4 linked regions of the Elephas maximus indicus genome follow. The protein of the gene in region 1 interacts with the protein of each later gene in a pairwise test. Links are inferred from orthologs where the notes say so. Each region holds a gene or a part of one and is shown on either strand. Other genes may lie near its edges.

The links.
Region 2: the proteins of RNF111 (region 1) and UBE2W interact in a two-hybrid assay, tested with the Homo sapiens proteins (2 studies listed by BioGRID and IntAct). The link is inferred for Elephas maximus indicus from reciprocal best matches to the Homo sapiens genes RNF111 and UBE2W.
Region 3: the proteins of RNF111 (region 1) and UBE2E3 interact in a two-hybrid assay, tested with the Homo sapiens proteins (2 studies listed by BioGRID and IntAct). The link is inferred for Elephas maximus indicus from reciprocal best matches to the Homo sapiens genes RNF111 and UBE2E3.
Region 4: the proteins of RNF111 (region 1) and UBE2E1 interact in a two-hybrid assay, tested with the Homo sapiens proteins (2 studies listed by BioGRID and IntAct). The link is inferred for Elephas maximus indicus from reciprocal best matches to the Homo sapiens genes RNF111 and UBE2E1.

What each region holds. Positions count from the first base shown.
Region 1 is NC_064831.1:49,065,958-49,073,514, forward strand, and holds the start of RNF111 (E3 ubiquitin-protein ligase Arkadia), read left to right. Parts: upstream 1-4,548; 5' UTR 4,549-5,309; intron 5,310-7,557. Other genes in the region: SLTM (SAFB-like transcription modulator), read right to left, coding at 3,306-3,393, 4,271-4,432. UniProt on the Homo sapiens protein: E3 ubiquitin-protein ligase. Required for mesoderm patterning during embryonic development. Acts as an enhancer of the transcriptional responses of the SMAD2/SMAD3 effectors, which are activated downstream of BMP.
Region 2 is NC_064833.1:68,164,112-68,172,044, forward strand, and holds the start of UBE2W (ubiquitin-conjugating enzyme E2 W), read left to right. Parts: upstream 1-4,928; 5' UTR 4,929-4,949; coding exon 4,950-5,051; intron 5,052-7,933. UniProt on the Homo sapiens protein: Accepts ubiquitin from the E1 complex and catalyzes its covalent attachment to other proteins.
Region 3 is NC_064824.1:79,192,519-79,200,476, forward strand, and holds the start of UBE2E3 (ubiquitin-conjugating enzyme E2 E3), read left to right. Parts: upstream 1-4,952; 5' UTR 4,953-5,059; intron 5,060-5,195; exon of another isoform or gene 5,196-5,562; intron 5,563-5,761; exon of another isoform or gene 5,762-5,972; intron 5,973-6,016; exon of another isoform or gene 6,017-6,064; intron 6,065-6,588; 5' UTR 6,589-6,613; coding exon 6,614-6,807; intron 6,808-7,958. UniProt on the Homo sapiens protein: Accepts ubiquitin from the E1 complex and catalyzes its covalent attachment to other proteins. In vitro catalyzes 'Lys-11'- and 'Lys-48'-, as well as 'Lys-63'-linked polyubiquitination.
Region 4 is NC_064845.1:15,869,585-15,877,508, reverse strand, and holds the start of UBE2E1 (ubiquitin-conjugating enzyme E2 E1), read left to right. Parts: upstream 1-4,913; 5' UTR 4,914-5,080; intron 5,081-6,206; 5' UTR 6,207-6,239; coding exon 6,240-6,391; intron 6,392-7,924. UniProt on the Homo sapiens protein: Accepts ubiquitin from the E1 complex and catalyzes its covalent attachment to other proteins. Catalyzes the covalent attachment of ISG15 to other proteins. Mediates the selective degradation of short-lived and abnormal proteins.

The sequences.
Region 1 (7,557 bases):
GGAGAGAGAACTAAACCTAAAAACTGTTCCACCATGTTAACTATATGCAAATAGTTTTATAAGTATGCTGATTATTAAAATCAAACCCACTAAAACATTATCAACATTCACTACAAACTTTTCCTTGTAATAACTGTACTTTCTGAATATTCTACAACATATTTATGAATGCAGATTCCTTTTTCTCTAATCTGTCTAAACACAATCATTTCAACATACAATTTTATTTAAAGAAAGTGACCCTCCATTTATCTCATGTGTCACCTCAGTAATTTTTCCAAATCCGTCAAGCCTCTCTTGTTTTCTTAACACCATTTAACCTTTATCTGCTGATTTAAGACTATGATAGGAATTATTTATTTTATGATTATATACTTATTCATGCCTAGTTGACATCTAGTCCTACACGGTCGCTATGAGTCGGAAACGACTCGACGGCACTAGGTAGGTTAGCTGACGTCTACATGACTGCCTATAAGTAATTCCATTCTTCCATCTTTTCCTCATTTAATAATCGGTGCTGAAGAAAACCTACACTGACTGAGGGCCTGCGAGTTTTTCTGTTCCTGTCTTACACGTTACTTTAGTTGAACAAAATTCATTTTTCTTCTGGCTCCTGGCTATATGAAACTGTTACATTTCGGAATTAAAAGAGCCCTAGATGATCTAGTACAATTTCCAAATTTACAAAAGAGGAAACAGATACACTGAAGGAAAAGTGGCATGACCAAGCTGAAATTATTTTCAAAGTAGATAATACTAAGATAAGATTTGACATTAAAAAAAAAAACCTTAATGTAGTAATTCAACTAGACAAAAAATGAAATCACATCAAAACAGTATTTAATTTCTTGAATCTTTGGTTTTAAAAATCTATTACCAATATTTTAACAAGTTTCCCTAAACAAATTTTGATTTTTAAAAATCGTTTCTAAACTTACTTTAAAATAATCATATCTGTAAGTATCTCAGTTGTAAACTAATTCAAATTAAATTCTAAACTTGGCATTTATATTATGTTCTTTATATTAATAGGATTTTCATAACAATGACAGATGGAATTCAAGGAAACTAGCGCCCTTTATCATGCATGTCCTGGAATGAGGCTCATGAAGTACTCAGTAGCCTGTTACAGACAAATAACAAATGCTTCAACTTCTAACCGATGACCACAAGGCACCTTAACATCAGAGTTAAAGAAAATTAAAGTTCAAGTATCTTTATAAACTGCCAGAAAAGTTAATATACTGATAAGCAAATATATATACTCAACTGGAAAAATCTGAGTTTTTTTTTATTGATGAAATTATTGCTATGAGTAAGATAAATGAGAAAAAAAAAAGGATACCAAAAAATCAAAAGCAGGTATAAAATAAACAAGATTTAAATATTAAAAATCATAATAACCTCAACATCTATCAAACTACCACAATGTGCTAAGAATATGAATCAAAACCACCATAAGACAACACATGGTTCATTCCTAATGTATTTTTTCCTGAATTTTCTAAGGGCTTACCCATTTTTGAAATAGCCTCTGCCTGCCAGCACAAGCCTCTCCAAGCTATCTCTCAAAGTGATACACTGAGTTAAAAAGTTACACTAAAAGCAATAGACCTCCAAGATACTTTGTTACTCTTCTAAACTCAACCTCCACTTATTACCACTCCTATTCCACCAGGAAAGGCTTCTCAGTCTTTCCTAACTCCTGTGCTGTGGCACAGAATATGGGACTCCTCCAAACCTATGTAGGCTTAACTACTGTGTTGGAATCAGCATCTGCCTGTTCCCCATGCCCACATGGTCCCTGAGGTGAAAATTTAATATCTCCTTATTTTCAAGTTAATTGATTCAATGCTTTCGCTCTATTCCCAATCAGAAGTGGCGTTTTGCATACTTAAAGCAGTAAAGGAAGTTAGATTCCAAAAAAATGCTGCACTTGTCCAATACATAAACAAAACAACCAAACCTGTTGCCACTGAGCCAACTCATAGGGACCCTACGGGACACAGCAGAACTGCCCCCCACATGGTTTCCAAAGAGTGCCTGGTGGATTCCAACTGCTGACCTTTTGGTTAGCAGCCATAGCTTTTAACCACTAAGCCACCAGGGTTTACCGTGCAAGACATACTCTGTATTAAATAAGAGCTGCAATAATTAATGGAAATTGTAGGTAAGTACCAGGATCCAAATGCTCACATCATGTCCACCCCTGCCAGTGTTCTTCTGGAAGGGAGGGAGAAATCTACAATTATTCGAGTAAAGATTTCACTTACCAGAAGCTTTAAAAAATTCCACTTCTGTTATTGAAATGTTAATTTCAAACCACTTCAAGTTATTCACTGAATCAGCATATCCTGGCAATATATTCTGGCCTACTTTAGAAGTTAAAATATCAAAATCTTTAATGTTTTCCTATAACTTTGGATGAGGCCCTAATCCAAGTCAGCCCTCCATATTCAGGGGTTCTGTATCTGTGGATTCCACACTCTGGAGCTCAACCAACTGCGAACTGAAAATATTCGAGGAAAAAAAAGTTCTGAAAAGCAAAACCTGGATTTGCGTTGTTAACTGTAAGCATCAACAACTATTCACACGGCACTTACACTATATTAGGTACTACACATACCCTTTTTTTTTTTTTATTTAAAGCATAAAAGAGGATGTATTTAGATTATATGCAAATACACACCATTTTATACAAGGAACTTGAGCATCTGAGGATTCTGGTCTTGGAACCAACCCCCCTGAGGATACTGAGGGACAACTGTAATGGGTTTTCCCTTCCGTTGTAGTTCAAATGCTTAAGTCCTGTTAAATTTCACTGAAAATTAGAATGTATAATGGCATAATTCCAATTTAAGTTCACTAAGTCAAACTCCAAAACATGAAGATCATAAAATTTTAATATACTAGAGGAAACAGCAAGAAGCCAAGGTGAAAGATTTGTAGGGATTCCATCAATACTCTGCCAAATTTGGGGCAAGGTAGATACGTATTAAACTGTATTTTATTCTTGTAATCTTCACACTACCAAGGAAAAAACATTCTGAAACTCAACTCTAATTTTTTTCAGAAGCAATAAAGGACTGGTCTCACTTTCGGGTTAGCTTCAGCGGAATCTTAAGGGCTACAAGTCACCCAGAGCCTGGCAACGGTAACTGTTCTTCCTTGACCCAAGAAGGCAGAGTGCCAGAGGGAAACAGCAAAGAGTAGAACTGTATAAACAGAGCAAATGGCACAAAAGCAGACACAAGTTATATAACCAAAATATATTTTAAAATACGTTCATAACTAGTAACAACCTTTGCCTTTGGTTGGTTTCTTGTTTGGAGTATCAGTTGAAACAGTTAATTCAATATTATCTGGATCGCCTCCTTCCTCTTCAATAGCCTACATTAGAAAGAGAAATTAATATGCTACACAATCTATCTAAACTTATTTTACAAAAACGCAATGAAAAAAAAATCAGCAAACCTCAAGCCTCAAGATGTTAGAATTGCCAGTCATTTCATAAACTGACTTCAAAAAAGAGCAATTAAACCACACGAAAAAGGTAAGAGAAGCTTGCGGGGCGGGGGGGCATTATTAGGTATCAAAATCACATGGAGTTTAAGGTTCTACCAATTTGAGAAAATTATATATCACATATTATCATACTCAACAAAAAAACCTAATATGCTCAATCGCAGAAAAGCTGCCAGCTGCTAAAGTAACTAAAAGGAGTTTTCCCAATATCTGCAACGCAAACTTATCCCTCCTCTACCACAATTCCAACGCTCTCTCAAATAAGCCAGAATGATTGTAATCAAGGATGAAAAAGGAGATTACTGCGAGGATGCAAAAACTGAAAACCCGATGGAAAACAAAACCTCTCCCCCCGCCCCATCAACTCCCACTACCGCCCCCCCCCCATGGGGAGGAAACGGTTGGGCACCATTAAACGGTAACTTCGCAGAAGTCACCAAAGTAACCATTCCCCCCGAGGCCCAGGGAAGCACGCGCTCACCATGGCTGAGGCTGGGGACCCAGCGCCGCCCGGCTCCGCACAACGCCCTTGGGAGGCCGCTCCGCCCGCCCGCCCGCAGCCCTGGCAGCCGGCACGGACGTCCCGGGGGAGCGGGGGCGCGCTCGGCGGCCGGGCGGGGAGGGGCGCCCGGCAGGCCTGCGCGCGCGGCCGGCGCCCGGGCCCGCTCCGCCCCGCGGACCGCGGCGGCCCAGAGACGCCAGGCGCGGCCTACGCTCCGCTTCCGGACCTGCTGGGCCTCACCTGCTTGAGTCGGGACACGAGCACCGTCTTGACGCCGGTGATGTCTAAATTCCGCCGCTTCAGCTCCGACTTGAGGTCGATGACCCGCAGGTCGGTGATCTTCTTCCCTTCCGCCTGATCCGAGGCGGCCGCGGCCGCCACAGCACCGGTAGCGGCAGCCATTTTAGGAGAGCGGCGCGCTGCCGAAGCAGCGAGTGGGCTGCAGGGCGGCGGCGGCAGCGCCAACTTGGGCTCGGGCCGCGGAGGCCGCTACGCACGGCGCTACGCACGGCGCTGCGCACAATGTGCCGCGGACCCCGCCCCCGCCGCCCAGCGCGACTTCCGCCGCCGTCGGCACCCGGATGACGGGCGCGCGTGCGCACTGAGGGGGCAGCGCCCGCGCGCTCCGCCGAACCCCCCTCGGCCACCTGGGCAGGGCGACCCCTGAAGTGGGCTGGGACGTCAGGCAGGTCCAACCGCAGCAACGTCCGCCGCGCCGCGGATCTCCCGCGGCCTCGTTAGCCATTTTCTAGCAACGTCTAGAGTCTTGAGCAATGAGAATGTGCTAGGCACGACGTGGCATAGAGTTCGCGAGTTACTAAACACAACCCTAAAAGACCTGCGCACGCCCCGAGCCTCACCCAGGGAGATACTTTGTATCTCTGCTGAGTGATCGAAAATGTGGTCAGTGTGGACAGGCCACTAATGCACTGGGTTCCTTCCTTTTCAAAACGCCTGAAAGAAACCCTAGAGCTGGTAGTCCAAGAATGTAAAGGGTCGGCCCATGTGACATGTCCCAGTGGCTCTCTCTCGGGAAAACATCATGCCTTCAGCCTTAGTTTATTCCAGGGCTCCCCCCACCCCCAGCCCCACCCCCACCTCAGCTTTGGCTTGGTTTGCCATCCTCGGGGAGGATCTAATGGCTCAACACGAAATAGTTCACTGAATGAGGAAATTAGTTTGATACTGGTTGCCATCTCGTATGCAGTGTTCACTGTTCTGCCCCTAAAATATGGGATTCCAAGAAGAGTGACTACTTATGGAGGACCGGCCTGTACAAGTGAGTACCTATTCATAATTTTAGCCAATACTACTAATCATCAAAGCATAAACATTTATGGAATAAAAGCTATCCTGTAAATTCCATAAATCAAGCATGACATGACACGCAGTTAAATGTGCTAGCATTTCCTGGCTTTAAAATTTAGATTGACGAAGCCTGGTTCACTTTAGCTTGCTCTTCTCTCTTTGATTAGATCAAGGAGGAAGATTGGAAATTGTAAACTAATACTTGACATTTGGGTAGTTCTTTATGGTTTATAATACACTTTGATATTCAATAAGCCTCTTAATCTGTCCTAACTCTGTGAGGTAAATCTCTGCGAGGCTTAACGTGATTAAATGACTTGTCCACGTTCACACAGATCAAATCCAGGTCTCCTGATTGTAAATCCAACTCTTGTCTACCACATTGGTTTCCACTCAGAATTTTAGAATTCAAAGACTTTTTAGTAATCTGAGCCAGTTCTCTCATTTTTTTAAATAGATGAACGTTCTAAGAGGTTTACCTAGATGCTCACAGGTAGGAAATCCTGGTGGTGTAGTGGTTAAGTGGTACAGCAGGTAACCAAAAGGTCAGTTCGAATCAGCCAGGTGCTCCTTGGAAATTCTACTGGGCAGATCTCCCGTGTCCTGTAGGGTTGCGATGAGTCGGAATCAACTCGATGGCAGTGAGTTTGGGTTTTGGGTTTTGGTCTCACAGGTAATTATTGAGCAAATTAACACTAAAGCTCAGATCTCCTTGTTTCAGTGTCTTTTCCACTCAACTCTCCTCCTCCCACTTTCTGTGGATGCTTGCTTGGAAAGAGGGCTTTTACTAACCAAAAGCTCACAGGATATTTAAAGGGAATTAGTTTTTCTTCTGTTGGCCTTTTTTTTTTTTTTTACTTAAAATCTAGTAATAGAGTTATCTAAAATGGAGGTACATGCTGCCTGCTGTGATGCACTTGAGAAGGACACATCACCTATGTCGTATTCATGTGTAACCTGAATCTGATCATGAAAAAAACATGCAGGCAAATTCAATTGTAGGACATTCTACAAATTAACTGGTCTAGACTCTTCAAAATAGCAACATCATGGAAAAAAAAGTTGTGGAACTGTTCCAGAATAAAGATGACTGAAGAGACATGACAACCAAATATCATACTTGATTACTGTTTAGATTCTGGATCAGAGAACATAAAAATGTAAGAACATTTTTGAATCAATGGGAACTTTGACTATACATTAGATTGTGTTGTTATATCAGTGTTAAAGATCCAGAGTATGATATCTTGGTTATGTAGAATGTCCTAGGTCTTAGGGGTGAAGTATCATTCTGTCTGCAATTTACTTTCAAATGGTTGAGAGAAAGAAAGCAAATGTGGCAATATTTTACCATTTGTGAAAGTAAATATAACAAGATATTAATCAAAAACAAATGTGGCAAAATGTTAACAATTAGGGAATCTTGCCAGTTGCCTGCCTTGGAAGTCAGTTCTGACTCATGGCAGCTCCATGTGTATCAGAGTAGAACTGGACTCCATTGGGTTTTCAGTGGCTGCTTTTTTGGAAGTAGATCATCAAGCCTTATTTCCAAGGTGCCTCTGAGTGGACTTGAACCTCCAACCTTTCGGTTAACAGCTGAGTGCATGAAGGGTATAAGGTTGTTCGTTGCATACTATTTAAACTTTTTTACAGGTTTAAAATTATTCCAAAAATACCTCATACATAGATCTATTTTTTTGTAATTTGAGAAAATAGTAAAATGGAGGTTATATATATTCACTTTTAACATATTGAATTTTTAATTTTGTTATTTAACCTAGGATTATCATGTTTTTTAACTTATTTACCTGAACTATTCACTTTTTAGTAAGTATTCCTTTAGTACATTTTTTTTCTGTTTTCATCCTTTAGTAAAATATATTTAGGTGAAGGGACACAGTAATTTTTCTCAATAGTCAACTTATTCTTTGGATGTTTCTTTTCTCCTAAAGCTGAAATTTGATATTCCATTTTTTGCAAGTGTGCTAGGCAATGTTATAGATAAGATCACAGGCTTGAGCTCCTCTGGCTACACTTATCTTTACCTGTATACGTTTGTGCATTGAGAATACTGCTCAAAAAATAATAACAACATATATTTTATGTATAAAGCCTCTTGCCATTTACTGAACACTTTTGCACTCATTATGTCACTTTGCTTTGAGAAAAGCTCATCATTTAACAGATATTTATTGAATTATTACTATCCGCCAGTCATA
Region 2 (7,933 bases), on another chromosome or scaffold:
AGTTTGGTGCCTGTTCCAACAAATATGCTGTGTGCTGTTGAACTGCCTTCATTTCTCTGGTGAGGTCAACCATGAAGAGACTAAGAACCAACTACTCTGTGGAGACACAAGCTCAAGCAAGGACTTGTCAACTTTGCCTTTTCATGCTCCAACAAGCATATCCTCACTGGACTGCTCCTGACTGTGCAGCCTAGTGAATCATAGGAATTCAAGCATTCATAAACTACATTACATCATCAGTACTGCAGCATTTACCTAGTGGTCCCTTTGTAGGTCCTTTAATGTTACCAGACTATTTGGTTTCCCATATTTCCTCCTCTTTGGTGCCACGGAGTCTAGCTGCTAATGTATTCCTCTGTGTCTCATGCTCTGCCTTTACCCAGGAGGGAAGACCGCAGACACGTACACAACCTGTATATGTCCTAATTTTTTTCTTCTAGGGAGGCAGAGGTGAGGGCAGTGTGGCAGATGGGGGATGTCTTAGTTCTAGTGCAGCTATAACAGAAATACCACAAGTGGACAGCTTTAACAAAGAAAATTTTATTCTCTCACAGTTTAGGAGGCTAGAAGTCCACATTCAGGGTGCCAGCTTCAGGGGAAGTCTTTCTTTTCTGTCAGCTCTGAGGGAAGGTCCTTGTTATCAATCTTTCCCTCATCTAGGAACTTCTCAGCACAGGGACCAGATCCAAAGGACATGTTCTGCTCCTGGCTCTGCTTTCCTGGTGGTAGGAGGTCCCTGTCTTTCTGCTCCTGTCTCTCTTTCATATCTCAAAAGAGGCTGACTCAAGATAGAACCTAATCTTGTAGATTAAGTCCTGATTCATTAACAAAACTGCCTCTAATCCTCCCTCATTAACATCGTAATGGTAGGATTTACAACACACAGGAAAATCATATCAATTGACAAAATGGTAGACAATCACACAATACTGGGAATCATGGCCTAGGCAAATTGACAGACATTTTTGGGGGGCAAGATTCAATCTATAACAGGGGAAAATCACCTCCTTGTCACCTGATGGTCATTTCAAATTGCTGTGGAAATAAAAAATAAACACCATTATCAAATGTAACAAAAATAAAAATTCTTTAATATCATCTAATATCTATTCTGTGTTTATATTTTGCCAGTTCCCAAAAATGTCTTTTTACAGTTGGTTTGTTAGAATCGGGATTCAAACAAAATTGACATATTGTGTTTGCTTAATATGTCTTTTAAATATCTTTTACCATAAATGATGCTATTTAGGAGATTGAGAGCGTGGGAAACTTCAACTTCTCTACTGCCGAACTGTTTTCCAAAGTAATTGTACCAATTTCACTCTGAGTTTATAAAAGCTTCACTCCCTCTCCTACTTTTGGTATCATCAGGCATTTAAACTTTTGCCTATCAGACATTTAAACTTTTGTAAGCCCCACTCTGTAAGGAAATGGAATGTGAACATAGTCTTCAAGAAATATATAATATAAAATAATACAGAAATTTCACACTGTAGTGCAGTGAGTTACTATTATATGCCCTTTTTAGCTGTTGTTCTTGTAACTCCCACAAAATGATTAGGTGAGATTATGCAAATAAGGTGCTTGTGGCCCACCAAGGGGATTGGACAGTTTTGAAACCTTTGTGGGGGTGGGACCATGCATATAGGGTGCATGGAACCCTTGTAGGAAATAGCTGGTTTTGCCATCCCACTAGGTTTAAAGGGAGCCAATCCCAGAGGCTGAGAGGGGGACCTCACTACCATCAAGAAAAGGAGCCAGGAGCAGAGTGCATTCTTCTGACCTAGGGTCCCTACACTGAGAACCTCCTAGGGCCAGGAGACAGAGAGAGTTCTAACACTGAAGACTGCACGAGAGAGACCAGTACCACAGGACTGGCAGGCTAGGCTTGCTGATGCACAGAGAAAAGAGAGGTAAGTGCCTTTAGGCAGGTGGTTGCCGGGGGAGTGGGTGCCTGTGGGCACTTGTTGGCAGAGCTAAAGACCTTTGTTATACTTGCCCGTCCAAGTATAACAGGACAAGAAGGCCAAGAACTGAAGGGTGAGAGAGAAGCCTGCCTGTGAGCATGGCTGAGAAGAAGCTGTCCTGATTAATTGTCTTGTTAAGTCGTTCCTTTTACTACCAAGTTGATCCTGGCCCTGAATTGTAAACTGTTATTCCCTGATAAATTCTATAATTGTGAATACGGTTTGTGAGTTCTATGTGGCCACTGCAATGAATTATCAAACCCAGTAGCAAAGTAGAGAGTGGCGTGGGAGGGATGGGATGGCTAGTGTCAGAACTGGTAAAAAGGTTGGAGAGTGGGAGTATGTGGGAATCAGCCTTGGGCTGATGTTGACAGTGATTTTCTGTCTCCCCCTGAAGTTAGTGAGGTCTGACGCTGTACCATTTCTGGACATGTTCCCTGGAGATAATTATATATCCCCATCCCATCTGAAAGTCACTGTTTTAGCTGCTCTATGCACTGGGATCTTTTTATTATACATTAGTGAAAGAGTAAAGACGATATGTAATTATGTGCTAGTTAGTATTTCCTAGGAGTCCCTGGGTGGCATTTACGGTTAAGCACTCGACTACTAAACAAAAGGTTGGTGGTTCAAAACCATCCAGAGGTGCCTCAGAAGAAAGGCCTACCCATCTACTTCCACAAGATTACAGCCATTGACAACCCTGTGGTTCTACTCTGACCCACACTGAGCTGCCACGAGTCAGAACTGATTCAACAGCAACCACTTTAAGAGGGATATAACTGGCACTGACTTTTCCCCTCATATGAATATCCTTCTAACACATCTGAAACTCAAGGTGCCAGATGTTGTTTCTGCTGAGAAGTGTCAGGATTCCTATAACCTCTTTTCTTCCTTGTTAATACTTGTTAGCTCTTATGATGTCATAATGCTTTGTTTGTAGGGTCATCTGATGTTATATATCTTTAGGAAGGAAGAGTTTTTAAACAAAGTGAACCGCATATAGTAAAACCTGATTTCTGGAGCAATTTTATGAAATAATAGGGAAGAAGATCTCTAAAAGGAAATATACTTGGAAACTTTTCCTATCAGCTTTCTTCTTTCATTGGGATATGTGTGATTTAACAACCTGACATGTGATGTGCTTCTGGATGTTTCCTGGTTGCCAGGAGCATCCAAACATTTCTAAGGACACATCATTTTGTACAATAAAGGGAAAACCAGCTCACTTCTGGCAATAAATGGAATTGGGTGCGGAAGTGTGTTTAATATTATACCATACAATAATTGGTGTATTTTTAAAAAATTTTTTATTGTGCTTTAAGTGAAAGTTTACAAATCAAGTCAGTCTCTCTCACAAAAACTTATATACACCTTGCTACATACTCCCATTGCTCTCCCCTTACTGAGACAGCCCGCTCCCTCACTCCACTTTCTCTTCATGACCATTTCGCCAGCTTCTAACCCCCTCTACCCTCTCATCTCCCCTCCAGGCAGGAGATGCCAACATAGTCTCAAGTGTCCACCTGATCCGAGAAGCTCACTCTTCACCAGCATTCCTCTCCAACCCGTTGTCCAGTTTAATCCCTGTCTGAAGAGTTGGCTTTGGGAACGGTTCCTGTCCTGGGCCAACAGAAGGTCTGGGGGCCATGGCCACTGGGGTCCTTCTAGTCTCAGTCAGACCATTAAGTCTGGTCTTTTGACAAGAATTTGATGTCTGCATCCTACTGCTCTCCTGCTCCCTCAGGGGTTCTCTGTTGTGTTCCCTGTCAGGGCAGTCATCGGTGGTAGGTGGGCACCATCTAGTTAATAATTGGTGTATTTTAAAGATCTTTTTCCTTTATGAACACATTTCACATTAGGGAAGTTCCCAGGAAACATAATGATCCATCTTAAGAGTGGGAAGGATGACATTCTACACTGCTTTTATATTTAAATCTTAACTTACTGAAATTTCTAAAAAGAAAGCCAAGTCAATTAAATGACAGGTTTTAAGCTTTCATTCTGGTAAAGTCAAAGTCTTCTACTCAATATATCAGCCAGCTCAGTTTTTTAGAGCAAGAACACGAGGTGCAAGGGCTTCCATTTTCCTCTTTAAAAAACCGTGATATTTTCAGTTCTGGAACAGCTCTCCAAAACGCTGCTTCTGGTAAATGTTGGCAGAATTGGTGCATTGCTTAAGTTAATTCTGTATGCTCAACCTTCCTTACCCAGTATCTCTAGGTTGGATGACCATAAAGCTGCCTACCCACAAAATAGACTGGAGAGAAGGCTGGACTTTATAGAATGTATTAAGTACTTATTATAACGAGATACCGGCACATTAAAAAAAAAAAATCATGCCTAGGGCTAAATCTCTGAGCAAACTTAGATTTCCGTAACAACCTTAACTATTTATTATACACATGAACTGAGGTTATGGGGTAAGGAAGTGGATATCACACACACTAGAAAAACTTCAAAAAAGTCTCTCTTTTTTTAGACAAGTTTCAGTTTTGCAAATCCAAAAAACTCTTAACTGTAAAACACCAAAACGTTGTCTGCTCTCAGTTCTCATCCCATTGTAGAAAGAAACCTGTGTCTCTCAAATTAGGAATACAAGAAGTCTTTCTGGTCGGCGAAGACCAGAAAGCAGCCCCGTGGTAAATTCTATCTGGCCCAAGGGTATTCGAAAGGAAAACCTCGAAACCGTACACCTGCGGCTGGAAAAATAAACCAAACAAAAAGTAACCCAAAGATAAGCACATCACCAGGATTTCGTAATATAAACCGACTACGTTGGCACGGTCGGTACCGGAACCACGCTTCCGGAGCTTCTCAAGCACTCAAGGCAAGGCGTGGGCTCGCCGCGGACGCACTAAAACGAGTTGTAATCACCGGTACCTACAGCGCTATTCACCGCACCCCGCCCCTCCCCCAGCGCGCCAGCCAATCCCCTTGCGCTCTCTCCTTCCCATCGGAGGCCCCTCCCCCGCGCCCTGGATGCTGAGCCCCCGCGGCGTGACGCGAGCACGGCAGCTCCGCCCCCTGCGTCTCTGGCCTCGCCGGCCTAGGGGGGATGGTTCCATCATGGCGTCAATGCAGGTGAGAGGAGTTTGCTGCAGCTGGGAGGGCGAGGGAACCGCCGCGAGGGTGCGATCATTCGGGCGGGAGCGCCGCCCGGGGCTCGGAGGTATTCGGGCGGCGTCGGGAGCAGTCCTAGCGGTCGGTCTTTGGCTAGTTTCAGGGCGTTGGGGAGGGGTGAGAGGCGGCCAGGGCAAGGACGGGTGGGGGGGTCTCGGTCGGTCGAAGCGGACACCAGCCGGCCGGGAAGTTGGGGGATAAAGAGGGGTTAGAGGAGGAAAGGTCGAAGTTTGGCCTTGGCTCCGCCACAGTGCTTTCGGAATCGCCTTCCCGCACACACAAACGGCCAGAGTCGGTCGCCGGCCAGCCCCAGGGATGCCTTTCTCTCCGCGGTCCCCGGCCGGCGGAAACAGCTGCTCTCGCCGTTGTCGCCGGGGCAGCAGCGGCGCTGAAGGGGCTGGGTGTGGAGAAACTGGAAAGACATTCCCTGAGAAGGCGGCTGGCTGCAGAAGGCGCTTCGCAGCCTCTGCTCAGGCCTCCCACGCCTGGCTTCTCTTGACTGCTCGGCACCTCCGCTGTCCTCCCTTTGACTCCTAATGCCCCTTGGGTACCTTCTCCTAGGAGTCACGGCACTCTCACAGACATTACCCGAGCCGCCCACTTTCTCACCCCAGCTCGAAGCTGCCCTTAGTCTATTAACAGCATTTGCCGCCTAATTTGCAATCTGCGGGAACCACTAGCCCCTTATGCCTCCCGGGATAGTTCACCCTCTAAGAAAATTTTTCCTCTGGTGCCCCACCCTTGCGGTCTCGGTAAGGCTGTCGCCCTTTACCCTTATTCTCCAGACCATTAGTAGAACCTTAGTTTATTAGGAGGAGTGCGTAACCTGTGTCCTAGCTACCTGACTTGTCAGTGCGTGGTTTTCTGGCTTTCCAACGCAGTTTAGAGAGGAGTTTGGTTTTTCAGGCAAAGATGGCAACCACAGTTGTGGTTTGTAGAGATTGACTCTGCATTATCTAATCTGTAGCTTGCGTTTAATTCACAGATGAAGACTAGCGTATCAAAACGTAGCAAGAGAAGGTAGAACTTATTAGGAATGTCAACTGAACGCTTTTTAGAGTTTTAAAAAAGCATCCCCTTAAGTGAAGAAAGAGACCGCATTTTTTCTTAGAAGGATTTTTTGTTTTTGTATCTAGAAGAAAAAGCAAGTACCCCCTCATTTTTCCCCCCTCTTCTGTGCGAGTGCAGTGTTTTTCTTACATCTCTTCTGCATCTTCTCTCTCTTGTGCACATCAGTTCTTTGTTCCACACTTTTGTGCTTTTGTCTTACCCCTTTCAATCTGTTTTTCATATGATAGTCTTGTTACCTTTGCTTTTCCCTATGGACTCTTGCAGAACAGAAAAAAATTGTATATAACATTTCTGGTTGAAAAGATGTGACGAAACAGTGGAGGGAGAAAACAAGAACAATTTCAGGAAACATTGTACTTTACACCAGTCTCCCTGAGAGACGTTAGAGAAGTTTCCTCATTTGAGGCCAAAAAAGGAACTGTTAAATTTAACAGTAGATGGGCTACGTGACCAATTTAAGGTTATTAGTGTATTAAGATTAAAACATTTGTTTTAAAACTAAAAATTAAAATCCACAACACTTGCATGATTGTATTTGACAAGTGAGCATAGCGTTACAGGGATGGTAACTGACAGTTAGCTTTTCAGTTATCTGGAAAAGGGATGTTTCAGTTGTTAAGAGAAAAAACCCAAGCTGGTAAAGAACTTAATAATCTTGAATTTTACATGGCTTCTTAAGCAGTAAGAAGCCCTGTTGGTGCAGTGGTTAAGCATTTGGCTACTAACTGAAAGGTCAGTGGTTCAAATCTACCAGCCTCTCCACAGGAGAAAGATGTGGCTGTCTGCTTCCAGAAAGATTACAGCCTTGGAAACCCTATGGGACAGTTCTACCCTATCCTATAGGGTCACTATGAGTCAGAATTGACTCAGAGCAATGGGTTTGATTTGGGGTTTTTTGTTTTGTTTTTGTTTTTTTTGTACTTTAACAATGGACAAAAATACTTGCCAGTGCAATATTGCATTTTTCTATGTCACAAGTACTACCTCAGTCTGTCTTACCACTTTTCTTTTCCTTTGTGTCTTGGTGATTAGAGGAATGGAAAATTCATACATCCTTTTTTAAGTAAAATACAACTAAATCTTTCCCTTTTGTTTGTATTTTTAAAATATACGGATTTTCTGGTAGAATCTTAAAAAATACTTTAATGTGGATAGGTCACACTTTTTGAGACAATACTGTCTGCGTGTGGGGTGAACAAAGTTTTTTTTCCCTGATAGTCTTAATAGCAAAGTTTAACTCTTTCTAAAACAACTGAACTATACATAAAGCAATAACCAAATTATTAAATTTGTTCATTCATGGAACAATTGTTTTTTGAGGACCCAGTATGTATCACCAGCAGTCATCTAGATGCTGAGGATCCAGCAGTGAACAAAAGCAGACAAGGTCTCTGCCCTTGTAGATATAAGTCTAGTTGGGGGAGACAGACATTAAGAAAATATTTAAGTTAATCGTGTATTAAATTAGAAGGTAAAAAGTGCTGTGGAGAAAAATATAGAGTGGATGGAGGTTTGGAAGTAGATATTTTAGATAGGGTAATGAGGAAAAAGTATGCTGCTCTGACCATGTCCTCATCTAAAAAAGCTTTAAGTAGGTTATTTAACCCACACTAGGATGTTACTGCTGCTTAAGAAGTTATTCAAGCTGTAAGGGGAACTGTATTTTAAAAACAAGTATATTATATGAATGTAACGTGTGATTTGATTACTTGAATTGATAAAGACGAAAAAATGAGTCTTCAGGAGCAATGCACTAAAAATTAGGGATAGAC
Region 3 (7,958 bases), on another chromosome or scaffold:
CCTTTTGTCCTATCAAGGTGCTCATGTTTTATTTCATCAGAAACAGCCTGAAAAAAAAGAAAGGAGTAAAATGAAGGGATATTGAGAAAAGTTACTGAGTAGGAAAGATAAATCTAAAATCAACAAACCAAATTAATATTTATTCTACATCTATTATGTGTGAAGTATGTTGCTGGTCATGGTGGGTGTCTTAGGCTGAGATCTCTAGAGAAACAAAACCAGTAAAAAAAAATGTGCATCAAGGAAATGGCTCATACCATTGTAGAGCCTGGAATGTCCCAAATCCATGGATCAGGATAAAGGCTTCTCCTGATTCACATAGCTGCAGGGGCTGGCTACCCAAGATTAGCAGGTCTGAGAGCAGGGCTCTTGCTCACAGTCTGTGAAGATCAACAAATCCCAAGATCGGTAGGCAAGACCACAAGCCTTCTCTTAATGCACGTAGCTGCAGGGGCTGTTGAACCCAAGATCAGCAGGTCAGAGAGCAGAACTCTTGATCACAGGCTGTGAAGATCGACAAATTCGAAGACTGGCAGGTAAGCTGCTAGCTGAAGTCCCGAGAACTGGAAGTCAGACAAACAGGAGGCAGCTGCAGGATCCAGAGAAGGCAAAAGCCAGAACATCCACTTATATTCAAATGCAGGCTACATGCCCAAGGAAACTCCCTTTCAACTGATTGGCTACTCACAGCAGATCCCATCATGGGGAAGATCACATATAAACATGGAGAATCACGGCCCAGGCAAGGTGACACACAATCAACCATCACAGTGGGTAATTTAAAAAGATCTGGTTCCTTACCCTAACCTACACAGTTGCTCAATTTAGAAACTTCTTAGGCAACTCAAACTATTTCTCTCTTTATGTTTTTCTGTAGACGCACACACGCTTGCACGCGCACACACACACACACACGAGACCGACTGAAAGGCTCAGGAGATAGCATCTCCCAATCTAGGGAGACCTAAGGATTCTGGGGCCTGCCTTGCCCAGAGCCCAGTCCACCCCGTAAGAACAGGTCCCTTTTGGTCACAACATTTAGTGGGAAAGGGAAGAGGAGGTGGTGATATCTTTTGCAACTGGATTTAGTATCTTTTCTCTTACCACTGGCTCTCTTTCAGGGTGAAAGGTTGGCAGGATCCTCATTCCAATAACAGAAAAACAGGAGACTGAGATGGAAAAACCTTCCTGTGGTAGCTGGTGTCTGCTTTGTGGTGCTATTTTGAGGGGCCTTATGGGAAAAAAATTTATTATATGGCTTATGGAATAATTTGCATTAGGTTACATCTGTATGCCCCAGGGGGGCCTATAAAACTTGATCCCTAATTTCAAGGATAAAACCAAACCGAAACCTATTGCCATCAAGTTGATTCCAGCTCATAGTGACCCTATAAGACAGAGTAGAACTTCCTCATAGGGTTTCCAAGGCTGTGATCTCTACAAAAGCGCATTGCCACATCTTTCTCCCTTGAACTGGCTGGTGAATTTGAACTGCTCACCTTTTGGTTAGCAGCTGTCATGGATTGAATTATGTTCCCCAAAAAGTGTGCCAACTTGGCTAGGCCACAATTTCCAGTATTGTGTGATTGTCCACCATTTTGTCATCTGGTGTGATTTTTCTACATGCTGTAAATCCTACCTCTATGATGTTAAGGAGGCAGGATTAGAGGAAGTTAACGAGGCTGGACTCAATCTACAAGATTAGGTTGTGTCTTAAGTCAATCTCTTTTGAGATATAAAAGAGAGAAGTGAGCAGAGAGACAGGGGGACCTAATACCACCAAGAAAGAAGCACCAGAAGCATAGTGTGTCCTTTGGATCCAGGGTCCCTGTGCTGAGAAGCTCCTTGACCAAGGAAAGATTGATGACAAAGACCTTCCCCCAGAACCAACAGAGAGAAAGCCTTTACCTGGGAGCTAGTGCCCTGAATTCCAACTTCTAGCCTACTAGAATGTGAGAGAATAAATTTCTGTTTGTTAAAGCCATCCACTTGTGGTATTTCTGTTATAGCACCACAAGATAACTAAGATGGCAGCCAAGTGCTTAACCACTGTGCCATGGATTTCAAGGATAGACATGGCAAAAACAAGATAGAAAGAACTTCACATTAGAAACAACTCATAATTTACAAGTTACTTCTGGTCAATGTGGTAATGTCTTGTTACCCTGGAGGAGAGCTGTGTCAACCACTTGAAGGACTCCATTAGTCAGGTGAAAGAAGGCATTTGGGAACCTAATATTGTGGGAGAAGGTTGCTCCTATTCCTGCCCTTACGGAGCCATTCATTCTCTTTATCAGGACTGTAACAATATATTAACTACTATACAGAGGGTTGCTATGAGTCAGAATTGGCTCCATAGCAGCGGGTTTGGTTTGTTTTTTGGTATTTATTGAACAGATACTACGTGCCAGGACTTTGCCAGGAGCATTATCTATATTATCACCTACTGATCCTTCCAGGCTCTGGTTATTATTACTTCTTTTGATTCATATCACAAGCTGAATTAATAATTCCATTAAACCAAAACCAAACCCATTGCCATCGAGTAGATTCCAACTCATAGGGACTCTATAGGACAGTGCAGAACTGTTCTATAGGGTTTCTAGGAAACCCTGGTGGCATAGTGGCTAAGAGCTATGGCTGCTAACAAAAAGCTCAGCAGTTCAAATTCACCAGGTGCTCCTTGGAAACTGTATGGGGCAGTTCTACTCTGTCCTATAGGGTCACCATCAGTTGGAGTCTACTCGACAGCAACTTTGTTTTTTTAATAATAGGGTTTCCAAGGAGTGGCTGGTGGATTCTAACTGCTGACCTTTTGGTTAGCAGCTAAGCTCTTAACCACAGCGCAACCAGGGATCCAGTAATTCCACTGATAATTATTAATTGATAATTAATAATTCTCCACTCTCACCCTGTTCACTTTTTTAATAAAACACCAGTCTGTAGACTACATTTCTGGCTGCCTCACTACACAGTGAGCCCATTAAAAGGACCCATGTTTCACTTGATTTCTCCAGCATTTAGTAGTTTAGCCCTGGTGGTGCAGTTTTTAAGAGCTACAGCTGCTAGCCAGTTCAAATCCACCAGCCCCTTCTTGGAAACAGTATGGGGCAATTCTACTTTGTCCTATAGGGTCACTATGAGTTGGGATTGACTTGATGGCAACAGGTTTGGTTTGGTTTTTTGGAAGTGTTCTGTTGAGTGAATGTTGAGTGTAATGTCTGCCACGACTTCAAACTCATTGACGAATCATGGAATTTTTGAGCAACAGAGGACTTGGAACCTTTGACACAATCTCCTTTTACGCATAAGAAACATTAAGTTGGAACAAGTAACTTGCCTGAGGTTACACAAACTAATAGGTAGGATGAGAATTAGACTCTAGTTCTCTCGCTTTCCAACCAATGCAGTTTCTTCTGCAGAAAATACTCTACCAAAATACAACGAAATACCCTTATTCCCTTATCTCTTTGCCATACCCAAAGCCGAAGAACATTTGGGCCTTCAGGTTATTTCCCTGGTATTTCCTAAAACATCCCACTTTTGACATACAGTTTTCCTTTAACAGTCCCCAGTATCAAATAGCACAAAGCTCAAACTCCAAATTAGCCAGCTTTTGCTGTAGAGTCACAATGTGTCACAAAGTTGAGGAAACCTTCTGTCTATATTTGTACCAAAAACTCTTCCTACAAGCATCCTTTGGTCCAGCTAAATCAAAATGCTTGTCCATAACACATGCCACGGTCTTGCCTCACAGTTTCTTGAGACATGCTGTTCATTCTGACTGAAATATCCTTCCTCCTTATCAACCTGGTGAGCTTTAACAATTTGTACCTGACCTTAATCGCATGATACTTGAATGAGTAAATTTTGTGTGTCCAGCACCTAGCAACATAGCCCTCAATGAAGTACCCTGTGTCTTTAGAAAATGAGAGAAACGTAACTTACTGGTCAGAGTGGTGAACAACCTTTTACCAAAACTTAAGTAAAATGAGGAAAAACTTAACGAAAAATAAGTAAATGTGTTCTTTCACTCAGTCTTCTTCCTTTCTTTCCCTTAACTCTCGTTTGTCTGTTGTGGCTGCTATTCTCACTCCCTCTGTGAACTCCATATTCTCCCAGCAAACCAGCTCCTGGACACTTGAGAGGAATCCACAAATTCCTTTGAGGCTCCATCACTGGAACAAGTTCTCAGTAGCTAGAGAAGGTCTGGGCTGCTAACAGGAAGTTTTTGTACTTCTGGCTACTTTGTGCCTGGGGCAAAAACTGCAAAGTCCACCTGGAGACTCTACAGGATAGAATGGTAGAACAAAACTAACATCCACTATCTCCATTGAATGCTTATCTAGATATCACTCTTTCCAGAACTGGCGTCTGGCTTAGTACTTCAGAACAGTCTCCAGACCCCCGTGAGCTTCCTTCTTCCACCTTTAAAAATTTTCAGCAGGACATTTAAAAATTGTTTTGGATTTAAGTTTTCAAGCCTCCCCTTTGGAAGCGACAGCTGCAGGCTGACGGCCAAGGAAAAGCAGAAGCTGGTCCTCTGGTCTCGAAATCCCTTTCACTCCTCTCAATGTCCAGGACCCCATCTAGCCCCTTCGTCTTGCTCACATGAGGAGGAACAGGTAGGTTTCCTCCAACTGCGTCGCTGGCCTCCTTAACACCACCTCTCAGTCCTCCAGAGCCTGGGGCAGCTGGGGACTCCCAGCCACGCGCTCAGGGCCCTTGCCTAGGCGTTGGGACCCTGGGGCCCATACCCGACCCTGCGCAGGCTAAGGGGATGTTGCCAGCAGTAGGGGTGACCTCGGCTCGCCCGCCCTGAAAAGCCCTCCAGCCTCGGCCCGCGGGGCGGGTAGCCTAATGGGCAGCCTCCGCCCGGAGGCGGGCACAGGCCGGAAGCCACCCCGCGGCACAGCAGCCCCGCGAGACGGCGCCCGCGCCCCCGTCCTCTCCAGCGCCGGCTCCGCGGCCTCGGCCTGCAGGGGCCAGCCTGTAGGGGCCCCGCCGCGCTCTTTGTCCTGGACGCGCGCGGGCGGACGCGTGCGCCCCCCGGGTGAAGGTAGGCGCGGAGAGAGCGCGCGGGAGCGCGCGGGAGTAGCTCGCGCCCGCCGGCTGCCGGCGGCGCGCGCCCCTCCGCCAGGCAAGCGGCGAGCACGCGCGCCGGCCCGCGTCCGCCCCTCCCCCGCGCTCGCCTAGGAACTTGCTGACTGCGCGGCCGGGAGGAGCCGAGCCGGGCGGCGGCGGCGGGAGGCCACAGTGCGCGGGGGTCTCCCGCGTCCCCTCCGCCTCGCTGGGAGCTCGCGCCCTCGCCCAGCCGAGCTCCCACCCCCCGTTTTTTCCCGAAGGCGCTGGGCGGCGCCACCCTCCGGCCGGAGCCCGGCACTACACAGCCCCCTCCGACTTTCAATGTTCCACACTCCCCGGCCAGAGCCTCCTCGGCTTCTTTTTTTCCCTCCCCCCCCTTCCCCCCCCAACTGCCTCCATTTCCTTAAGGAAGGGTTTTTTTCTCTCTCCCTCCCCCACACCGTAGCGGCGTGCGAGCGGGCCGGGCGGGCGGCCGAGGTAAGGCAGCCGGGCCGGGGGGCCGCGTGGGGGGCGGCCGGGGCGGCGGCGGCGGCGGTGGGGGAGGGGGCGGGGGCGGGCAGCTTTGTTCGCGCCGGGCGCCCGCGCCGCCGGTGTCCGCGAGCCGCGGCGGGGCCGGCCGGGCTGCTCGCATCACTTGGCGCCCGGCGCGGCGAGCGCTGCCCACGGCCCCCGCGCGGCCCTCCCCACAAAGGGCCGCGGAGCTGCGTGGCGGCCGCCGCCGCCGGCCGCGGTTCGCCTCCACGGGCGCGGAAATTTGTTGCACTTCTTGGGGCTTTGTTTGTTTGTTTTTCCTGGGATTTTTTTTTCTCGTTATTTTGGACAAAATGTCGGTCCGTGATGTAAAAATTGAGCGAGGAACCTTGGTGGCATTGGGAGCTTTGCAGAAGGTGCAGTTTGGATTCTGCTTTTCCCAGGGTGGCAGCTCTCTCTTGGCCGGATGAATCTTCGCTGCTGGCCGTGGAAACGGCTAGAGCAGCTTGTTAGTTGATTTTTAAATTTCTAAATGTTGTGTTTAAAGCCTTACGTGCAGCGAGGAGGAATCGCCACGTTAAATAAGCATATGGGTGATTAACGGGGTATGTTTTCCTCTCGGAAAGGCAATTTGGTAGCTTTGACCAATGTCAGTGTGTAAATATTTAGACGTTATTAGTGACTTTTTAACATTTTTCAGCGAGATCTGTTATTTACAGTGTGTCATATGTTATTAATGCTCGTTGCCTAAGTTCCCTGGCAAATCTGTTTCATGCCTTCTGAGAAAGTAGACAATTGATAGATTGTCCAAGGAATGGAAAAAAAAAATGTGAGTGGGTTTTCTAACTTGAGTCCGGTAAATCCTTGAACGGTGGCGTTGTGAGACACATCGCCTCCCCTTGTAACCTTGTGTGAACACTTTTGAAGCCTTTTTATTAAAATTCGATTTTAATTGATTTATAGAAAATAAAATGCTATTGGTTTATTTCTTAGACTTAACCTTTCCTACCCCCCTATTTTTCTCTTTAAAAGTTTTCCAAGAAATAACTTCACCAAGATGTCCAGTGATAGGCAGAGGTCCGATGATGAGAGCCCTAGCACCAGCAGTGGTAGTTCAGATGCAGACCAGCGAGACCCAGCCGCTCCAGAGCCTGAAGAACAAGAAGAAAGAAAACCTTCTGCCACCCAGCAGAAGAAAAACACCAAACTCTCTAGCAAAACCACTGCTAAGTTATCCACTAGTGCTAAAAGGTAATGTGTTAAAAAGGGTTAAGCACATTGTCAGGTTGTCTTCCAAATGGTCGGACACTTTGTTGGTTTTAGATCAGTAGGAATAGTTCAAAAAATGCTTCACGATTGGTCTTATTTGTATTTGAATGAGTTGTCATTCTGTAGATGATATGTAAACCACTTCCATAGAATTATAGTTTTAAGCAAACTTATTCTGTACTTCAGTAACTTCAGCAAGAATGTACTTGAATAAAGATTGGACTACTATTCTGACATATTAAGGAGTTGGTGAAGGGAAATTTGTGAGCCCAAATTAGAGGTACAATGGGGATGTTTACTTTTTGAGTCATACTCTTTTCTTTATTGAAGTTGACACTTCTGAAGGTCACCAGTGCCTTTCCATGAAACTTTAGTGATCCAAAATAATCACATTTGCTGGAAAATCTATAAATTCAAGGTCTTGGCTATATGTGAAAGCAGATTTAAAATCGTGCTACAAACTGTTCTCAGTTTCACAAACAAGTCTTTAAGTTATGCATCCCAGGTATACTTTAAAATGATGGTTATTCCTCTGTGCCTGTGAGGGCACATAAAACTGCAAGGCAGCCGTTTACAGTTTTAAGTGTCACTTGGCTATTGAAAACTTTCATCGTCCTTGTGCAACTTTTTACACTAAAACTTGTGGAGACACTTGACACATTAATACTCAACAACAAAAGAAACATTTTGTTGGATATAAGTGAAAAATTGCTTGTTTCATGTTGATTTATATGTATTGGAGAGAAAAGATCCTATCGGTGGGGCTCCATCCGTGGGGGTAGTTGTGGAATATCCATGAACTCTAGGAATTATGTGGACAGAGATACATCAGATATATCTATTGAATTAGTATTGACATTCTGTTGGTTTTTATTGATCGCAACTAAAGGGCAAAGAAAATACAAAAACTGATCAAATATTGTGTTTTGTAGTGATTCTAAAATATTCATTTTTCTACAGATTTTCATATCTATTGTATAATAATCAAGCATTAATAACTTGAGAATGTTTTATTAAATAGCAGCAGTCTTTGAAATAATTTATAATTCAGTCTTTTTGAAGAACGTACTAAATTTTAAGTTTTCAAAGCATTTTTCATTTGAATAAAATCAGAGAACTGCTTTTTTTCCTAA
Region 4 (7,924 bases), on another chromosome or scaffold:
TAAAACTAATTTTTCTCCTACTCTTTCATTCCTCCAAATTTCAGTAAGCTAAAAAGGTGTTAAGTTCAGGAAAAGGTTTCAGAGACTAATGAACCGAACTGTTCAAACTGCAATACAATATATTCCAATATAATCTGTCCTTGTGTTATCAATGTACAGAAGGTTGAAAGAGGTTAGCTTGTTTAGAGAATAGGCCTCACAGAGGCAACCCTAAATTATAAATTGAGACAATTGCTTTAATATTAACCATTATCCATTTGTGGACATCAAACAAACCTTTTTGCCCTTGCTTGATTTTTTCTCTGAAAAAAAGCATTTGATTCTTAATCAAGTGATGGTAAATTTTGAAAATCACATGGTGTTCAATGCCTCCATGTGGTAGAAAAAATAATTTAGTTCTGTCCTAGCTTCCTGTAATAGTCATATTCAGGCCCAATAAAGTCAGACAATGTTTAGGGTCCTTCAAAGGTATATCAGTGTTTCTTTTTTTTTTTTTTTAATAAGTCCATGGAAAAATGACCTGTATTAAAGATAAAAGCCCCAGATCTAAGGCCTCATGGAACAGGCCCTTCTTTGCAGAACTTTCTTATTTTTCTGTATAAGGAATGAATATTTTCAGCCAAAGGAGTATAATAAAATGAAACAGATGTCCTGAAATCTGCAGTGAATCCATCCTTCCAGAAATTCTTTATAGAAATTCTTAATTTCAAATCAATTTTTTTTTTTTTGCAGAAAAAGGAAATCCTTTCTACCAGCTATAAAGTAAGATTAAATATATATATATATTAGCAAATGCTAATTTACTTGACAACTGTTTGGATATGAAATTGGCCAAACAGAATGGTCATCTTTATGAAATACTGTTTGTCATAAGCAACTGGCCAAAAATAAGAGTGCTGGAAAGTTAAACTGGGTCTCTTTTAAATCAACTGTAGCCGTGTCCTCCCAAGGGTGGGAATTCTTGTTCTTTCACCTTCTAGGGATCAGCCTATGACTGTAAGCACCTTGATCTTCAAGTACTTTACTTAAAAGCACTTGATACTCTAAAGATGACTTGAAGAAGAGAGCTGGATCATTCTGAGAACCAGGAATAGGTACTAGCAAACACTGGAGCCCCCTTTCTCAAAGCCCGTGGATGTTGCAGTGCTGCCCCACTTGGGCTTCTGTGATTGGACGCATCTTTTAAATGTCAGTTGAGCATTTCTGTTGATGAATTCAGTGTATGTACACGCGTTTGCTTGCACATGCGTAGATTATACGAGCAAGGATACGCAGAAAACTGCCCTGAAGAGGGAAATAAGAGGGATTGGAAGGAAGAGCTGAGGGCTCTTCCCTGACATATCCTTTGGTATCTTTTGAATCATAAAGCATGAGAATGGATTGCCTGTTCAAAATATGTTCATAAATGTAAAACAAATAACCAAGGAGGCTTACTCTCCGGATGGCAAGCAAGGAACTTCAATGGCAGTCATCCATTGGTTCAAGTGAATGTTAAAAATTCAGGTGATTCCCTCCCATTTTTTCCCCTTTCCCAACTATGTCTTGATAATATATTCTTGGAAATATTACCAAAGTTCTTTCATGTATAATATTTGCCTCCAGTGTAATGGATTTTCCAGGACTGACAAAATCATCTGTGGGCAGCAGGGGCCATAGCCACAGTTCTGCCACCGACTCACTGCATGACCTTGGCTTTCTTTGCCTTATTTTCTTCATTTGTAACATGAGGAGTTTGAACTAGAAGATTTCTCAGGTCCTGTCTAGTACTGGAGCCCTGGTGGTGCAGTGGTGAGGGACTCGGCTGCTAACCCAAAGACTGGCAGTTCAAATCCACTAGCCACTCCTTGGAAACCCTATGGGGCAGTTCTATTCTGTCCTATAGGGTTGCTATGAGTTGGAATAGATTTGACAGCACCGGGTTTGGTTTTTGATTTTATTGTAGTGGTAAAATCCTATGATTCCTTGACTATCTTTCACTTCAGAGGGTTTCTTAAGTTCTCACCATACACTCTTTAGGTGCCCTAACAGCATTCTGGAGAAGTAGGACCTAGGTGGGATTATTAATAATTTACTTTGTGTAACAGTTAATAAGCCACCTTCATTACAGACACACACTGATCCTTACAATAGCTTTGCCGGGCCACATAGTGCAGGTATCCCAGCCCTTTAGAGATGAGGAAACTGAGGCTCAGAGAGGTGACTTCAGGTCTTAGGCCTTGTAGTTAATATGTAGAAGAGCTAGAGGGTTGCAAACAAATTTTTTTTTTTTCTCTATGAGACAACAGTGTATTTAAAATAACATGACCTAAAGATTAGACTTTCAAGAACAGTGAATTCTTTTCTAAGCATTTTGAGGTTTTTATACCCGACTCAGTAGGTCATTCCAAAACCATAAAGCACTAACCGGGGGTTAGTGTGTGTTAGAGATAAGAGGGAATGGTACACAAGGGAGGGCTGGTATCCTTCCAGACCTGTGCTTGGGAAAGCACTCCCTATGTAGGAGGAGCCCTTAGATTACATGGTTTATTTCCCCGGGGACCAATCCAACCCAGGCATCAACAATGAAACAGAAAATACCATGCTCAGTTAAAAAAAAAAATTATCATAGTATCTGTTATAGATTGAATTGTGTCCCCCAAAAGTATGTTTTGTAAATCCTGACCTCTATGCCTGTGGTTATAATCCCATTTGGGAACGGGTCGTCTTTGTTATGTTAATGAGAGAGGATTAGTATAGGGTGTGTCTTAAATCAATCTCTTTTAATGTATAAAAGAGATTAAAAGAACAAGGGAAAGAAGCAAGGATGGGGGAAGAGAAATGCCAAGCCACAAGAAGATGGCCCAGGAGCAGGAGCTCAAAGAGACAGCTGAAAAAGAAAGAAAGCCTTCCCCTAGAGCCGGCTCCCTGAATTCGGCCTTCTAGCCCCCTAAACTGTGAGAAAATAAATTTCTGTTTGTTAAAGCCACACATTTGTGGTATTTCTGTTATAGCAGCACTCATAGATAACTAAGACAGTATTCAGGTATACGATTTATAGAAATCAAACTTAAAGAAAAAATATACCACCATCCCAGTCACTTCAGCAAATCAAATTTTTTATTTTCCTGTGATCCTACCAGGTCTTGTCTTTATATATACATATACATATAATTGGCTTTTTTTAATATATATAATTACATATACAATTTTTTTTACTAGTTGTAATCATAGTGCAGGATTGGATTTTAAAGCATCAGAAATCCAAATTTTCGTAAGATTATTTTCTTCACCCCCAACTAAGTTTATTTCATCTGTTTGCTTATTGTTTTCTGTTGAACTTTTTCGTCAGATGTACACAAAGTCTACAACCTGTTTTCTAGGAGATTTTTTGTTTTTAAGGACCATACAGCAGGGAATGTCATTATTTTTGTATGGTCTACCAGGACTCCTGAAACCAAACACTAAGAAAAGTTGTCCGGGGATCTTTTCAAAATCGATATGCATTTTGGTGGTTAAGGGATAGCTCTGACTGGGCAGGAGGCTGAAGTGATGACTACGAGGTTTCCTCCACCTTTTGGACTCCTTGATTCTATGGCAATACCTGGTAGATACAGGTTTCCTAGTAGGGACTGAACAAGAATCATACGCTATTATTGCTTTATGAGTCTTGATGAAGTTGGAGTTTCAGGATGAAGAGTAGAAGGGGTTAAGCTGGGCGGTGAGAATCCTTGTTTTCCTGGTTACTGGATATGTCATGGGCTTTATATCTTGTGTATATGGTGACTGAAACCACTGTTGCCACGGGAAATGATGGTAATTTGAATGAGATAATTTAGAGTGACCCATGGAACTCTGACTAGGCTGTCTCCTTAATGTAAAGATCCTGTGAGTGTGTCACTTGTATTTGGATGGTATATATCTCTTCATTTCCCTTCAACTGAAATGACAAATAGGTGAGAAACTGAAGAGTAATTTGGTGGCTTAATAATAGAAAGTCAATCTTATTTAAAATGCTAAACGAGGAACAATTTAGAAGAATTACTGATTATTCTAAAAATATTATTATTTGAATAGCATTTATGTTGTAGCTGAAGTAGGTACAGGGGTCCCCAGAACTTCCTAGCGAATTTCCAAAAATCAAACTTTATATCCAATGCTGACGCCCAAAAACGCTAAATCTAGTCTAATTCAGTATATGATTTATTCCCAGTGATTTCTCACATTCATAAACCTGTAACCCTCTGCTCTTACCTGTCATGAAATCATTTGTATCACTTTCAAAAACCCACATCACTTTCTATAAAATGTGACGTGAAGAATCTAAAATTTAGAATTGTACATGCCTCATGCCCTGGAGCAGAAAAGTCCCAGTTTGGGATTTTCTCAGAGGCGTGTCTAACTAAACTGACCTCTGCTCCTACCAGGTAAATTGCCAGAGAGAGAAGCAAGTGTCAGCCCAAAGGGAAATCCCTTTTGTGGGATTTCTTTTTTCCCCTTAAACTGATCACTTTTTAGGAGTTTCCATTGCACTCTCTAGTCCCAAGTCTTAGGCATGAGATTACCGTCTTATTCACCAATTTGCCAAACGCCTTTTCCAAAAGCCCTCTGTGGAAAGAACTTCTTCTCTAGTGACCCCCCGCACCTCTATTCCAGCTAGTACCAGCCGCTCCCAGCGCCCCCCGTCTCGGACCAGCTCCCCGTCTCCTACCCAGGATCCAGATCCCAAACCCCGTAAGAGAAAATTCACACCCCTCGCCCCTTCCCGGGCGTCCGAAGGAGGCGCCCGGTGGGGGTGCAGGTGTGGATGGGGAGGGGGACAGGGTTTCCCGGGGTCCCCCGTGTCCTCCCCGTCCCCCCGCTCCCGGAGGTGCAGGGGGAGGGAGCGCGGGTGGGTGGGACCGGGCGGGTGGGGGAGGGGTGAGGAGGAGGAGGAGTGTGTGTGCGAGCGTGTGTGGCTGGGGGAAGCCATTGCCTGTTTAATAGTTGCTGTTGCTGCACTTCCGCTTCTCTCCCAGCGAGAGAGAGACACGAGTGGCCAGGCCCAGCCGCAGCCGCAGCAGCAGCCGCCGCGGCGGCACGGAGGAGCCAGACACAAAGAGAGGTACGGGGATCCCCCCGTCGCCCGCCGCCCCCCGGCCGCGCCGCCGGGCCTCGGGGACACCCCTTGCCGCCTCCCCCAAGCCGCGCCGCCCGGGCCGCCGGGCACGGGGCTGAGGAGGGGCGAGGGGCCGGGGAGCCCCAGGGGTCCGGGGCCCGCCCGCGGGGGATGGGCAGGGACCCCGGGCCGCGTGGGGTGCGGGGGCCGCCGCGTCGGGGGCGAGGGGGGCATTGTGGCTTGAACTGTCAGCGCCGTCCCGGGAGCCCCCCACTGGCCACTGAGGGGGCCGGGAGCGGGGGGTGGGGGAGTTGGGGGAGCCTCGTTTTCCCCCCGGGCGGGGGCCCGCGGGGATTAACCCCTCCGGGGCGGACGAGCTCATTGTTATTCCTTCTCTGCGGAGGCCAACCCCCCCACACACCCGAACCCCCCACCTCCTAGAGGTGGCGATCGGGCGTGGGCTCAGGACCCCCGCCCTGGCCGCGGAGCCCGGAGCCGGGCGGCTGAGGGGCAGGCCGACAGGGAGGGGCGTCGGGCGCGGCGTGGGGGGCCTCGGGCCTCGTCGCCCCTGTCCCCGCCGGCCTCTCCCTTCCCCCACCCGGGCACCCGTTCCCCGCCTCCGTCCCCCGGTTTCGGCTTCCTCTCTTACTCCTCCCGCCCCTCCTCTCTTCCCGACCTCGCCAAACTCCGCTCCCGGCCCCGCAGCCTTGCCGGGGCCACAGGCCCCCGCGACCCCCAGGAAGCGCACAGAACAGTCCGAAGGCCACCCGGCCGCCCGGGTCTTTCCTCCTCGCCTCGTCGAGGCGCCCCGCGCCCCTGCCCTGCCCTCCTCCTCCGCCCCCTCGGCCTCCCCCCTCCGTGCCCAGAGGGGAGCCCCGGGGGGCGAGGGAGGGGCTGCCCTCGTAGCTCCGGACCGTTTCCCCCGGCGTCCTCTACTTGGGGCCCAAAATAAACAAACAAGCCGCGTCCGATTTGCCGAAGCCTTAATGGGCCTAGAGACTTTGAAAGCAATAAGAGGGAGGTGGGCGGCTGGGTGCACCCCTGCCCCGTGCCTTCCTGACAGCACCCGAGTTCCCTATTCACACTGCCTGCCTGGTTTACGTGTGTCTGTTTTGTTTCCCTCCTCCTCCAGGGGCTGTTTGCGGGGTGGGGTGGGGGGTTCGCTATGTCGGATGACGATTCGAGGGCCAGCACCAGCTCCTCCTCATCTTCTTCCTCCAACCAGCAAACCGAGAAAGAAACAAACACCCCCAAGAAGAAGGAGAGTAAAGTCAGCATGAGTAAAAACTCCAAGCTCCTCTCCACCAGCGCCAAGAGGTACCGTACGCTTTTCCACCGGCTTCCTATTTTTCTGAACGCCTCTGCTGCATTCGGTTTAGCTCCCAAAGAGGGTAGCTAAAGTGCCCCTCCTGGTTTGTGTGTCCTTACAAATGAAAAAGGGGCCTGGGAGGCCCTAATTATTCTCTCCGTTGCTTGTTCTGTTTTTCTTTTAATCATTGCCCACATGCAGCCGCTGTGGCTTGCCTCTCGCGTTTCTTGTTGAAGTTTGTAAGAATCCTCATTGCTTTTAATAGTGACCCCCAAACCCCATTTCAGGTTACTGGTTTTATTAATCGCTAATCTGTAACTCTCCTCACGGCTGCCGTCCCACTTCTTAATCACTAATACCTGCCCAGATAACTCCCTATCAAAATGTCTTACTTCCTTCTCACCTGTTGCACGCCTGATCTTTGTTGAATAGTAATTTATCCAAAAATTGCATAAAGAATAAATACATCAGTGGGGTAGAAATTTTAGAAGTTGAAGACAGGATTCCTGATGGAATTTAAAGGGATTTTTCTGGTTTGGAGAGTTGACGCAAATGAATGAAGCAATAAATGATTGTAAGCTGGTGTATTGTAGGTTATTTCTGGGATCCTTAATTTTTTTTCTCTTTAAGAACTTCACGTTACCAATTGTAGGAAAACGCAGTTTTTTCGTGCTGTCTTATGCTGTAAAAATGCTACTATTTTTTTCCAAGTTGAATTAAAGCAGTGGCTCTTTTTCCTTACTTTTTTCCTCTTACATCTCTGGAGAAAGCCACTTTTTACCTCTGTCATCCTTTAGTAATATCCTCGGATTCCTGTGACCCTTAAAATAATCTATAGCAGATTTCTGGGAACCCCCAGACACCTTTTCATAAATCCTTCTGCTCTCTGGTAAACAGTTATTAAACGTTAAAGTGGCATACTAGGAAAACAGTGGCACCCTGGTGGCGCAGTGGTTAAGAGCTCAGCTGCTAACCAAAAGATCGGCAGTTTGAATCCACCAGTCGCTCCTTGGAAACCCTATGGGGCAGCTCTACTCTGTCCTGTAGGGTTGCTATGAGTCAGAATTGACTTGCTGGCAACAGGTTTGGTTTTGGTTTTAGTTTAGGAAGATAGTAAGGAATCTGAATGGTGGGTTAGATAGGGATGTCTTTCTTAAAGGAATTTAAAATAAAATGGAACCTGAGACTTAGGTCTCTCCGTTGAGTAGTAAGCCAGAACTCAAGAGTTCAAGAGTTTGTTTTGTCATTTTCCCTGACTTGAAATTTGAAAAGTTGGTAAAGTGCTGATGAAGGGAATGACTTTTTATTTTAAATAGTGTAGAGATTTAAGTGCTAAGGTGTTTTTTGCAAGGTATTTCCCCTTTTCAGAGGGTTGGTTTGATTGCATCTCAGCTTCCCAGGAGTCCTCATTGATTAACCCAGTGCTAGCTAGTTCTTTAGTTCTTTCAGAACCCTGGTATCTAACCCTGCCCGCTTTGGATGAGGCCTTCCTTAAGCTCCCCAGGGCAGCCTCTGGACTCCCTGATCCTCATTCAGACAGC